Linked DNA regions of Mus musculus. The protein of the gene in region 1 binds, or shares a complex with, the protein of each later gene. Links are inferred from orthologs where the notes say so. Each region holds a gene or a part of one and is shown in the gene's direction. Other genes may lie near its edges. The genes, in order: Obsl1, Myom1 and Ccdc8.

Region 1 (3,645 bases):
GGCCTAGAGGTAGAGGTGTCAGATGCGCTGCAGCTGGGTGCTGAGGGGCCTGCCCGCACTCTCACCCTGCCCCACGCCCAGCCTGAGGATGCCGGGGAGTATGTATGTGAGACCCGAGATGAGGCTGTCACCTTCAACGTCAGCCTGGCTGGTGGGTGTGCCGGTCCAGCCTTGGGTGGGGAGGCAGGGGCTGGCTTGGGCTTACAACTCCCTTTTTCTTTGTGCAGAGCTTCCGGTGCAGTTTCTGGCTCCAGAGGCAGCCCCAAATCCGCTCTGCGTGGTTCCTGGGGAGCCCGTGGTGCTGAGCTGTGAGCTGTCCCGAGCAAGCGCACAAGTGTTCTGGAGCCACAATGGGAGCCCGGTGCAGCAGGGTGAAGGACTAGAGCTGCGAGCTGAGGGTCCTCGCAGAATCCTCTGCATCCAGGCAGCAGACCTCGCTCACACAGGTGTCTACACTTGCCAATCTGGGGCATCCCCAGGGGCCCCAAGCCTCAGCTTCAATGTCCAGGTGGCTGGTGAGTACAACCTGGGCAGAAAGCCTTACTAGTCCCCCCTCCCCCCCATCCAGGGCTCCCCCACTTTCCTAAGACATAACATCTTTCCCTTGCCCTGTTCCCCCAGCTTGTCTCCCCACCCTTCTCACTGCCCTCCCAGTGACCCCTAGCTCTGACCCCACAGAGCCCCCAGTGCGGGTAGTGGCCCCCGAGGCAGCCCAGACGAGTGTTCGAAGCACCCCAGGTGGGGACCTAGAGCTGGTGGTGCACCTCTCCAGGCCAGGGACCCCTGTGCGCTGGTACAAGGACGGGGAGCGCCTGGCAAGCCAGGGGCGGGTACAGCTGGAACAAGCCGGGGCGAGGCAGGTGCTGCGGGTGCGGGGGGCACGGAGAGGGGATGCTGGGGAATACCTGTGCGACGCACCCCAGGACAGTCGCATCTTCATCGTCAGTGTGGAAGGTAACCATGCACCCCTCATACCCACAAAGACAACCTCCCATCCTCTGGACCCTTTTCATCTCCTATACCTCACCCAACTGCTCTCTATGGTTCCCACCAATGCGTTCATGACTGTCACTGTAAGAGGGCATCTTCCTTTTTTCCAGCACCCTAGCATAGCAGGATGTATAGCCCAGTGGATTAAAAGGAGGACTCTAGAGTCAACTTGTCCAGGGTGTAACTCAGACTTGGCTCTCTGGGACTTGGGTGACATTTGCGAGGCCATTTTATTCCCCTGAGCCCCAGCACTGAAATGGGATGGCAGATAGGTTGCTATGACCATTAAATGTTGTAACTGGGCCCATAGTAAATAATGTATTGGTACTAGAGACTTGGGAAGAGGTGCCAGGCTGGGATTTCAAGGAGCTTACTAAGTGTGGCCAGGATTTGGCATCCTGGTCTTTGGGAGAACCCCCACAACCAACACACAATAGGGCCTCACTCAAGCTGTTGTAATTGGTGGGAGAATGAGAGCTTGCATCCTGTAGGGGGATCAGGGTGGGGGTTGGTAGTGGAGAGAGACAGAGGGAGAAAGAGGTATCCAGGTCACTGCCTCACCCCTCCTTCCAGAGCTCCCGCCAGTGAAGCTGGTCTCTGAACTGACGCCTCTGACAGTCCATGAGGGGGACGATGCCACATTCCAGTGTGAGGTTTCACCACCAGATGCCGAAGTCACCTGGCTACGCAACGGAGCGGTTATCACTGCAGGGCCACAGTTGGAAATGGTCCAGAATGGTTCAAGCCGCACCTTGATCATCCGAGGCTGCCAACTCAAAGACGCAGGGACCGTGACCGCGCGAGCCGGAGCTGCTGACACAAGTGCCAGGCTCCACGTTCGAGGTTCAGTGTGACTGAGCATAAAATGCTCTGTTCCCTGTAGCTAACCCCTCACAACCATGGCCTAGAAGTGAGCTAGCCTTCAACCTCTGGGCTCCATGATCTCTCATCTTCCCTTCCAGAGACAGAGCTGCTGTTCTTGCGGCGGCTGCAGGATGTGCGGGCCGAGGAAGGCCAGGATGTGCACCTTGAGGTAGAGACAGGCCGAGTTGGTGCAGCTGGAACTGTTCGCTGGATACGAGGTGGGGAACCTCTTCCCCTGGACTCTCGCCTGACCACGGCTCAGGATGGCCATGTCCACCGCCTCTCTATCCATGGCGTTCTACTTACCGACCAGGGCACCTACGGCTGTGAGAGCCGCCACGATCGCACCCTGGCCAGGCTCAGTGTGAGGCGTGAGTGCCCAATCTTCTCCTACTTCATCACTCACCTGGCTGGCCCAGAGTCCCTGACACTGCCACCACCACCAAAGTGCTCCTTTCTGCTGAGGAAGGTCTGCCTTGGCTGTCCCAATCTGGGGTTAGAGCCAGAAGGCTCCTGCTCAAACCAAAATCCTCTTTTTCTAATGTTTTCTAGTCCCTCAGAAGTCCAAATGGACTCTGCTTTTTACTTCAAAGATGGCTTTGCTAGCAGCATAAATTTTATACTCCAGAAAAACTCTCTGTATTTATTTTTTGAAAGAATGACTGGCTAATAGCATTTCTCACCCACTGCCCCATGCTGGAACACACTACCTGTGTGACCTCATGCAATCTCTCTGAAACAAATCTCCATAAAAATAGGGTTGATCCCTACGTCCAGAGTCTTTGAGGAAATTAGCCAAGGTATCAGACCTTGGTGATTGGCTGTCACGAGTGGTATGTGTTCATCACAGTATAACCCAGAGTGGCACTGGGCTTTAGCATGGTGGTTCTCAACCTGTGGGTCAAGACCCCTTTGCTAATCAAACAACAGGGGTCCCCTATCAGATACCCCGCCTATCGGGTATTTACATTACAATTTATGACCGTAGCAGGATCGCAGTTATGAAGTAGCAATGAAAATAATTTCATGGCTGGGGGTCACCACCAATGAGGTACTATATGAGATGGTTGCTTCATTAGGAAGGTTGAGAACCACTGGTTTAGTGCAATAGGGAAAACTAGGGCTTAGAAAAAAAAAGTCAGAGGAGTTTGCCAAAGATCCCTTGGTACACAGACGAGTTATATGTTAAGTAAAGGCTCTGATCCCAGTGGGCCTATTGTTCCTTCCAGTGTCACCCCACCCCACACTGAGACTCCTCAACCCGTCCTTCTCCCTCCCTCCTTCCCACCCAGTCTGAAGTTGTATAGCCAAGGCCTTTCATGGAGTGCTGGGGTGGCACGTGGAGCATGCTGGAGTGAGTGAGCCCCTGCACCCTGCCCAGAGCTGGTGTCCTCCCTCTCTCATCTCCCCACACTAGCTCGGCAGCTGAGGGAACTTCGGCCTCTGGAGGATGTGACCGTCCATGAGGGGGGCAGTGCCACCTTCCAGCTGGAGCTGTCCCAGGAGGGTGTGACCGGAGAGTGGGCCCAGGGTGGAGTCCGGCTGCACCCAGGGCCCAAGTGCCACATTCAATCAGAAGGCCGCACTCACCGCTTGGTGCTAAGCGGCCTGGGTCTGGCTGACTCGGGCTGTGTCTCCTTCACTGCGGACACCCTTCGGTGTGCTGCTCGGCTCACAGTGAGAGGTGTGGCCTCTGGGCCTCTGCCTGCTAAATCCCTGTGTGTGACTCCTGGCCTAACCATGTTGCCCCTACTGACCACCCTGCCAGAGTGGGGAATTGCTGGACCCTTT
Region 2 (3,745 bases), on another chromosome or scaffold:
ACACTCACACATTGTGGTGGCTCCAACTGCAGGTTTGGTCATGCAGCTGGAAGGCCCCTGGGTGACATCCTCCATCTTGTGCTAACATGGCAGTACGCAGTGTGTCTCTGGTCTGCCTGCCTGTGCCATGTGCTGGAGGGTGGGTCTATCTGTCTTCTTTCTCCTGCGCTGTGCTGCCTGCATTTGAGTTGACTTGATTTTTTGAGTCCTAGGCATACAACAGCTCTGGCCACCAAGCCAGGTATCAAGCTAGAATGAACAAAGGACTGCCATCTGCTCTGGCCCTGACCGAATACCACCACCAAGGTGTCTTTTTGTCTATTGCAAGGGGGTCTAAGTAGAATTCTTGAAGCAAATAGTTTCTGAAGTTTATAGATTATAATGGATTACTTTCTGTTTATTGTTAGTGTGTTTACTGTGTGTGTTTATAAAAGAGGGAGGGAGGGAGGGAGGGAGGAAAGGACGGAGGGAGGGATGGAGGGACGGAGGGACAGAGGGAGAGAGAGAAAGAGCCACCAGCTTAGCTGAGATCCTCCTGCCTCTGTCTGTCATCTTGCTGTAGGACTCATGGAATTACCGTTTCTATGGAGTTCTGGAATTACAGATGTGCACCACTGCTGCAGGTTCTTTTCACGAGGATTTTGGGATGGAGCCCATGTGTCAGGCTGGGCCACTTCTTCATTACACCATTGGTTGGAAGCAAAGAATCAGGTAGTTAGGCTGAGCCTGCTCTTGAGTGTGGAAGGATAAGATAACGAATTCCTTTTCCTAATTTTTCTTTTCCTTTTTCTAATGAATGAGGAATTGGACAATTGCACCTGATGCTAAGATTCACTTTTCCTAAACAGAGAGGGACAGCGAGTGTCCCAAAGCCTCCGCACTAACCTTTAGTTAGCCCCAGCTTTCTCTCCCATGTTGTCTTTCAACGCTGTGCTCCATGTGTCACAAACAGCGCACACAAAGCCGCGTCTTGGCGTTAAGATTCCATGAGGTCCATTTTGAGGATCGGATTCCTACACCTGTTTTTAGCTCTGAACACAAGCCCTGTATGTTTAAATACAAAGCAGTAAAGATATATCGGACACAGTCCGTAGAATCCTCTATTTAAGTCGGTCCTCCATTTGGTTTAATCAGGCCGTACTCATTGAGCCATTAACCTAATCCTACTGCTCCTGCAGCTTCCTGCCATGCTCTTCTCTGGGTTTGGGACTCCCCTCCCCATGTGCTGCTATATTTATCTGCCTTCCTGGCCATAAAAGGCTGGCTGTGGGGCCCTGACATTCTGCTGCCTGACCACATGCATTATTTTTGAACTGGCCCCCAGAATCCAGCCTCTAGCCCTGCCTCTTAACTTTTTCTTGGATTCAACCTAGGTGGGCCCTCATTCTCTCCTGCTCCTCGACTGCGGCAGGGCAGTGGGCCGTAACCCCCACCCCAGAAACCGGTAAGTGACATGGAGGTGGCAAATGTACTCAGGAGTTTCAGTCTGCCTTCTCGCCTCAGCAGGGGAGTGACAGGAGCTCCTGGAAGGGGAGACGGGAGCAGTAAGGTACCTGCCTGGGCTGGTGGCTGTTTTTGCCGTATTCTTTTGAAAACAAGAATATGCCTCTGTTTCTGGAACTGCAAGCTCACATTTGTCTCATATCCAATGCAAGTATTTTCTCAGGGAAAGGAGCAGTGAAGTATTTACAGAGCTCCTTGAGTGCAAATTAAGCTAGAAGGATACAAATTCTCTTCAGAGCCACTAATTCATGATCCGGTGACATAGCTCCAAGGGAAGAGAGGGATGGGGGAGGGAAGAAGCGAGAGGATGAACTCTGCCATGAGAGAGCAGTGTGGACGACCTCTCTCTCAGGAGCATTGTGATATTTCTGACTTGAAAATGACTGGGTAACACAGAGGTGGCAGACCTGGCACCGTGACCCTGGAGCGATTGCCTTCTGTAATTAATTTCCATCAGCTTTTGGCCTCTGCTGCCCGCATCAGAATATTACAGCACGGTTACAATTTTGGAGGTAGTATTTCTTCTTAACCGTCGAGATTATTTTTAGAAATAAAAGTTAGTTTTCAGAAGCACAGAAGACAAAAAAATAAAAAAGTCTTTATTTCTAACAAATCCTGGCAGTTGTGTGTTGGGCTAAGCCTGGCTCACTGGCTGGTTATACTTTGGTCACTGCTATACTTTGGTTCAGCACTGGTGGCTTAACCAATGTACTAAGTAGTAGATGTTAATCACGTAAGTATTCTTGGGACAGATAATGAAGAATGGAAAATGGAGTTGGGACAAGACACTTAAACCATCTGTTTTGTGAGAATGATAGCATTTTGAACCATCTGGGTAGCAATGTTAGTTTATAATATAACACAGCAAAGGAGCTTTTATTATTTGTAAGTCACTTTGATGACATCATTACAGAGACTTACCTAACACTTCATAATACAGTGTATTCTAACCCTTTTATACTATAAACGCCACCCAAAAGTTATCCATTAAGTATAGTTCTGCATATTTAGTAACAGAAAAGGCAATCTATTTAAGGATTTAAGGAAGCACAGTTGCTTGCTGGTAGCTATTTTTTTTTTCTCTCTCTTAGAAAATGTCATGTAGACTGGTATTTCCCATGAGACTTCAGATACATATTTCAGGAGTGAAGTTTGTTGGCTTTTCTTCTCTAAAGAGAACACACTGACTTTTTAAGCAGCTTAAATAAAACTTAGTTTTAAATATGACAAAAATTTAAAAGGATTTACTCCTCAGTTAGGAATTTTAAGCAAAACAAGGTTAGGAAAAGAAAAACCTTTGCTTGAAAACAATTTTGTTATATAGTTTTGAAAATAATAATATTATACATGGGAGGTTTTTTTAAAAAACCTAGGAGAGGTGTCTATAAAATTATGACTTGCTCCAGTTTGCCATGTGGCTGGTAGTCTTTCGGTGAACACATGATTTACACATGAAGTAAATGCAAGGCCTCCGTAAGCAAAGGCACTTCCTGCTAAGCCTGGTGGCCTGAATTCTGTCCCCTGAGCCCTCACGGAAGGAGAGAACGGGTGCTGAGAAGTTGTCCTCTGTGCTCCGTGTACATGCTGTGACACACATGCACCCCCTAGACGCACAAAATCAATTACCTGATAGATAGATATGAAATGCCAGAGCCACACCGAGCTCAGATTCTTTATATTCCTATATGGATTCTCCCATATTTCTATATGGAATAAATACTGTTCTGCCTTTTTGTAATGTGTGCACAATTTGAAAGAACTCCCAATTATAGAAGTTATCAGACCGTGAGGTTCAGCTTTTCTGTGCGCAGTCACTCACATCCGTCTCCTGCCGCCTGGGAAAGGGTGGCACCGTGAGGTCTTAGCTGATCTGAGGCTTGCACAAACCAGGCTGGCCTCAAATTCACAGAGACCCACCTGTCTCTCTCTGCCTCCAGAGCACTGGGATTGAAGGTGTGCACCACCGCCCAGAGAGCTTTCTGCTTTCCAGCTTCACCTATGTGCAGTTGCCTCCAAGATCCAGATATCCATCCCGTACCTTGAACTTTAAAGTCACACATCCGACTTCCTACTTAAAACCTCAGCTGGATAGTGTAGCAGGTTCCTCAGATGGAGAATATCTCAGGCTGGTTTTGAGTTTTTTTCTTCCCATCCTTAGATGATATTTTCTTCTCTTCCTCATCTCGGATAATGGCAGCCTCAGTCTTCTAGCTAGCCAGGCAAAAAACCTTTCCTTCATGCT
Region 3 (3,745 bases), on another chromosome or scaffold:
GAGTGACCTTACCCTCCTCATCCCCCTGCCTTCAATTACTGCGATCACAAGTGTGCATCCCATGCCTGATATATGTTCTTATATTGATATTAAAGTCACTTCCTTACCTGGCCGTTGTTGTTGTTGCTTAAGCCTGATAATAGTGGCCTACGTAAAGCCTAGTAGACAGAGGCTGAGGCAGGAGGATCCCTGAAAGTTTGAGGCCACGTGGGATACATAAACTAAGAACTGAGGGTACAACATCTCTGTGATCTTAAAGGTTTTTTTATTTTTAAGAAAATTTTTTATTTAAAAAATATATTTATTTTATGTGCTTTGGTGTTTTGATGTATATCAGTGGGGGGGGGGTGTTAAATCCCCTAGAGGTGGGGTTACAGACATTTATGAGCATTATGTGGGTGCTGGGAATTGAACCCAGGTCCTCTGAAAGAGCAGCCTGTGCTTTTAACCATGGAGCCATTTCTCCAACTCCAAGAAAATATTTTACTTTAAAAACGTGTTTATCGGGCTGGGCATGGTGGCGCACGCCTTTAATCCCAGCACTTGGGAGGCAGAGGCAGGTGGATCTCTGAGTTCGAGGCCAGCCTGGTCTACAAAGTGAGTTCTAGGACAGCCAAGGCTACACAGAGAAACCCTGTCTCGAAAAACAAACAAACAAACAAACAAACAAACAAAACCCGTGTTTATCGTGTGTGAATTAATATATGTACAATCTGTGTATAGGGGTGCACATGTGGAGATTGAACAATAACTTTGTAGAATTGGTTTTATGTGGGTTCTGGGATTGAATTCAGGCTTTGGGGAAATGTTTTTACCCATTGGGTTATCTTGTGTGCCCCTTTTTGTGTGCATGAATGTCTTCTCTCTCTCTCTCTCTGTGTGTGTGTGTGTGTGTGTGTGTGTGTGTGTGTGTGTGTGTGTGTGTGTACCACGTATATGCAGTGCTCACAGAGATCAGAAGAGGGTATTGGATCCCCTGGAACTGGAAATAAACAGGGTTTTGAGCCATCGTATTGGTTCTGGGAGTCAAACCCAGGTCTTACATAAAGGTAGCCCATGCTCCTAACCATTGAGCCACCTCTAGTCCCATCCCCTTAATTTTAAACGCACGTTCATAATTGCAATAGCCTTCAAAGGATTTGAGCCATCAGCACTCGCACCTTTTGGGCTTGCACGTCTAGGATGGCAGGTTGGGGGACCCGTTGCCTTTTGGGAAGGATGATGACGTGGGTTTTGGCTGCAGCTAAGGGAAGCCCTGGCCCCATTGAGGCTCTGGGGGGCAGCCACACCTCTGTGGGGGAGGAGAGGGAGGCTGCCCTGAAGGGGAGTGGACAGCCCCGCTGCCAGTCTTCCCAGGCTTAGAGTGTAAGATGAGAAGGAGAAGGTGGGCCTCACCCAGGAGGGGAGGGCGCCCAGAAACTTCCTGCGGCTCTCAGCTCCACCACAGACTGAGCGCAAGGTCAGTTTGGAGCGGGTGGCAGACTGCCTGGGGGCGGGAGACCCTCCTCGGGGCTGGGCGGAGGCCTTTAAGCACCTCGCCATATTGAAAGGCCACGCTGAGCCGTCTTTGTCTGCAGAGTCCTCCCAAGAACTTTCAGCTATATCCTGGTGTCTGGGGCAAGGGAGAAGCGATCGGAGCTCGTGGGACCCCAACTTGGAGCCGGGACACTGGCGATTCCAGTTTGGACTGAACTTTGAGCCTCGGGAATGAGCGTGCTTCAGTTCATGTAAGCATCCTGGAAAACTGCTTGCTACAACTCCGAGGGGGTTGGGGAAGCCAACTTGGACTTGTTTCCTGAAGAGAAAATTGTAGGGAGGAGACACTCTGTGCGAGCAGAGTTGCTAGGACTGTCCACCGCCCCCTCCCCAAGACTAGCAGCCAAGTGTCTGGGCTTTTTGCCCCCACTCGAGCGTCCACGCTGGAGATCTTAAAGACTCTCGAAAAAAGCCACGTAGGGGGATGGTTCCCCTGGGGCTTCCTTCCGTCTCCCGATTGCCTGATCCTCTGGAGTGTCCCCGACGTCTGCAAAGATGTCGATCTGGACGTGTTAGTGGAGGCCTTAAGGCCTGTGGGCACCTTTAAGAAAATCGGAAAGGTGTTCCGCAAAGAAGAGGACTCCACGGTGGGGATGCTGCAGATTGGGGAGGATGTTGACTATCTGCTCATCCCCCGGGAGGTCCGCCTGGCTGGGGGCGTGTGGAGAGTCATCTCCAAGCCTGCAACGAAGGAAGCTGAGTTTCGGGAGCGGCTAATCCAGTTTTTGCAGGAGGAGGGCCGCACCCTGGAAGATGTGGCCCGTATCATCGAAAAGAGCACTCCACACCCACCCCAACCCCGCAAAAGAACCAAGGAGCTGAGAGTGAGGAGAGTCCCGCAGATGGTCACTCCTCCACTTCGGCTGGTTGTAGGTACCTATGACAGCAGCAATGGCAGCGACAGTGAGTTGAGTGACTTCGATACCTCCAAAGTCAAAGGCAACAGGAGCTCCTCCGGGAGGACCAGGAAGGTGCGCAAAATGCCGGTCAGTTACTTGGGCAGCAAATTCCTGGGCAGCGATGTGGAGAGTGAGGATGATCAGGAGCTGGTGGAGGCCTTCCTCCGCCGTGGGGAGAAGCCCAGCGCGCCTCCTCCACGACGCCGAGTCAATCTTCCAGTGCCCATGTTTGAGAACAACCTGGGGCCCCAGCCATCCAAGGCCGACAGATGGAGGGAGTATGTTAGCCAGGTGTCCTGGGGGAAGCTGAAACAGAGGGTGAAGGGCTGGGCACCCAGATCAGGCTCCGAGGTGGGCCAGACCCAGCAGGCCTCCACAGCAGCTGAGAGGGCTGGAGAAATGAGACACAGCCAAGCCAGCTCGGACGATGATAGCTCCAGAAACACAGGAGACCGGAGTGACCAGATGCTGGGTACTAGACGCTGGAAGCCCAAGATCAAGTGGGTTTCCCTGAGACGATGCAGGAAGGAGCAGGTGCCACCCTTCGCTCAGGGAACAGGCATGCCAGCTGAGGAGCACCCAGAGGCTGCAGAGAACCAGGGGGCAGAGGCTGCAGCTAACCAGAGGGCAGAGCCTCTAGCTAGTCCAAGGGCAGAGGCTGCAGCTAGTCCAAGGGCAGAGACTGCAGCTGATCCAAGAGTAGAGGCTGTTGCTAGTCCAAGAGCAGAGGCTGCAGCTAGTCCAAGGGCAGAGGCTGTAGCTGATCCAAGAGCAGAGGCTGCAGCTAGTCCAAGGGCAGAGGCTGCAGCTAGTCCAAGGACTGAGGCTGCAGCTAGTCTCAGGGCAGAGGCTGTTGCTAGTCCCAGGGCAGAGGCTGCAGCTAGTCCAAGGGCAGAGGCTGCAGCTGATCCAAGAGCAGAGGCTGCAGCTAGTCCAATAGCAGAGGCTGCTGCTAACCAGAAGGCAGAGCTTGTAGATAGTCCAAGGGCAGAGACTGCAGCTGATCCAAGAGCAGAGGCTGCAGCTAGTCCAAGGGCAGAGGCTGTAGCTGATCCAAGAGTAGAGGCTGCAGCTAGTCCAATAGCAGAGGCTGCTGCTAACCAGAAGGCAGAGCTTGTAGATAGTCCAAGGGCAGAGACTGCAGCTGATCCAAGAGCAGAGGCTGCAGCTAGTCCAAGGGCAGAGGCTGCAGCTGATCCAAGAGCAGAGGTTGCAGCTAGTCCAAGGGCAGAGGCTGCAGCTAGTCCAAGGGCAGAGGCTGAAGCTAGTCCAAGGGCAGAGGCTGCAGCTAGTCCAAAGGCAGAGGCTGA

The links.
Region 2: the proteins of Obsl1 (region 1) and Myom1 are in contact, whole or in part, in a crystal structure (PDB 5FM5), measured with the Homo sapiens proteins. The link is inferred for Mus musculus from reciprocal best matches to the Homo sapiens genes OBSL1 and MYOM1. Residues at the interface, in NP_056126.1 of Homo sapiens: Pro243, Lys253, Phe255, Val257, Asn258, Gly260, Lys261, His262, Ala263, Lys264, Phe265, Arg266, Cys267, Tyr268, Val269, Met270, Gly271, Lys272, Pro273, Pro275, Trp279, Lys305, Tyr308, Tyr317, Cys319, Ala321, Arg322, Asn323, Ser324, Ala325; in NP_003794.3 of Homo sapiens: Arg616, Pro617, Ser618, Ala619, Pro620, Trp621, Thr622, Gly623, Gln624, Ile625, Ile626, Val627, Thr628, Glu629, Glu630, Glu631, Pro632.
Region 3: Obsl1 (region 1) and Ccdc8 share a complex: the UniProt entries of both Homo sapiens proteins name them as parts of the 3M complex. The link is inferred for Mus musculus from reciprocal best matches to the Homo sapiens genes OBSL1 and CCDC8.

What each region holds. Positions count from the first base shown.
Region 1 is NC_000067.6:75,489,376-75,493,020, reverse strand, and holds part of Obsl1 (obscurin-like protein 1), read left to right. Parts: coding exon 1-151; intron 152-227; coding exon 228-515; intron 516-678; coding exon of another isoform or gene 679-954; intron 955-1,563; coding exon 1,564-1,833; intron 1,834-1,952; coding exon 1,953-2,225; intron 2,226-3,271; coding exon 3,272-3,538; intron 3,539-3,645. UniProt on the Homo sapiens protein: Core component of the 3M complex, a complex required to regulate microtubule dynamics and genome integrity. It is unclear how the 3M complex regulates microtubules, it could act by controlling the level of a microtubule stabilizer.
Region 2 is NC_000083.6:71,018,208-71,021,952, forward strand, and holds the start of Myom1 (myomesin-1), read left to right. Parts: upstream 1-1,349; 5' UTR 1,350-1,444; intron 1,445-3,745. UniProt on the Homo sapiens protein: Major component of the vertebrate myofibrillar M band. Binds myosin, titin, and light meromyosin. This binding is dose dependent.
Region 3 is NC_000073.6:16,992,459-16,996,203, forward strand, and holds the start of Ccdc8 (coiled-coil domain-containing protein 8 homolog), read left to right. Parts: upstream 1-1,443; 5' UTR 1,444-2,129; coding exon 2,130-3,745. UniProt on the Homo sapiens protein: Core component of the 3M complex, a complex required to regulate microtubule dynamics and genome integrity. It is unclear how the 3M complex regulates microtubules, it could act by controlling the level of a microtubule stabilizer.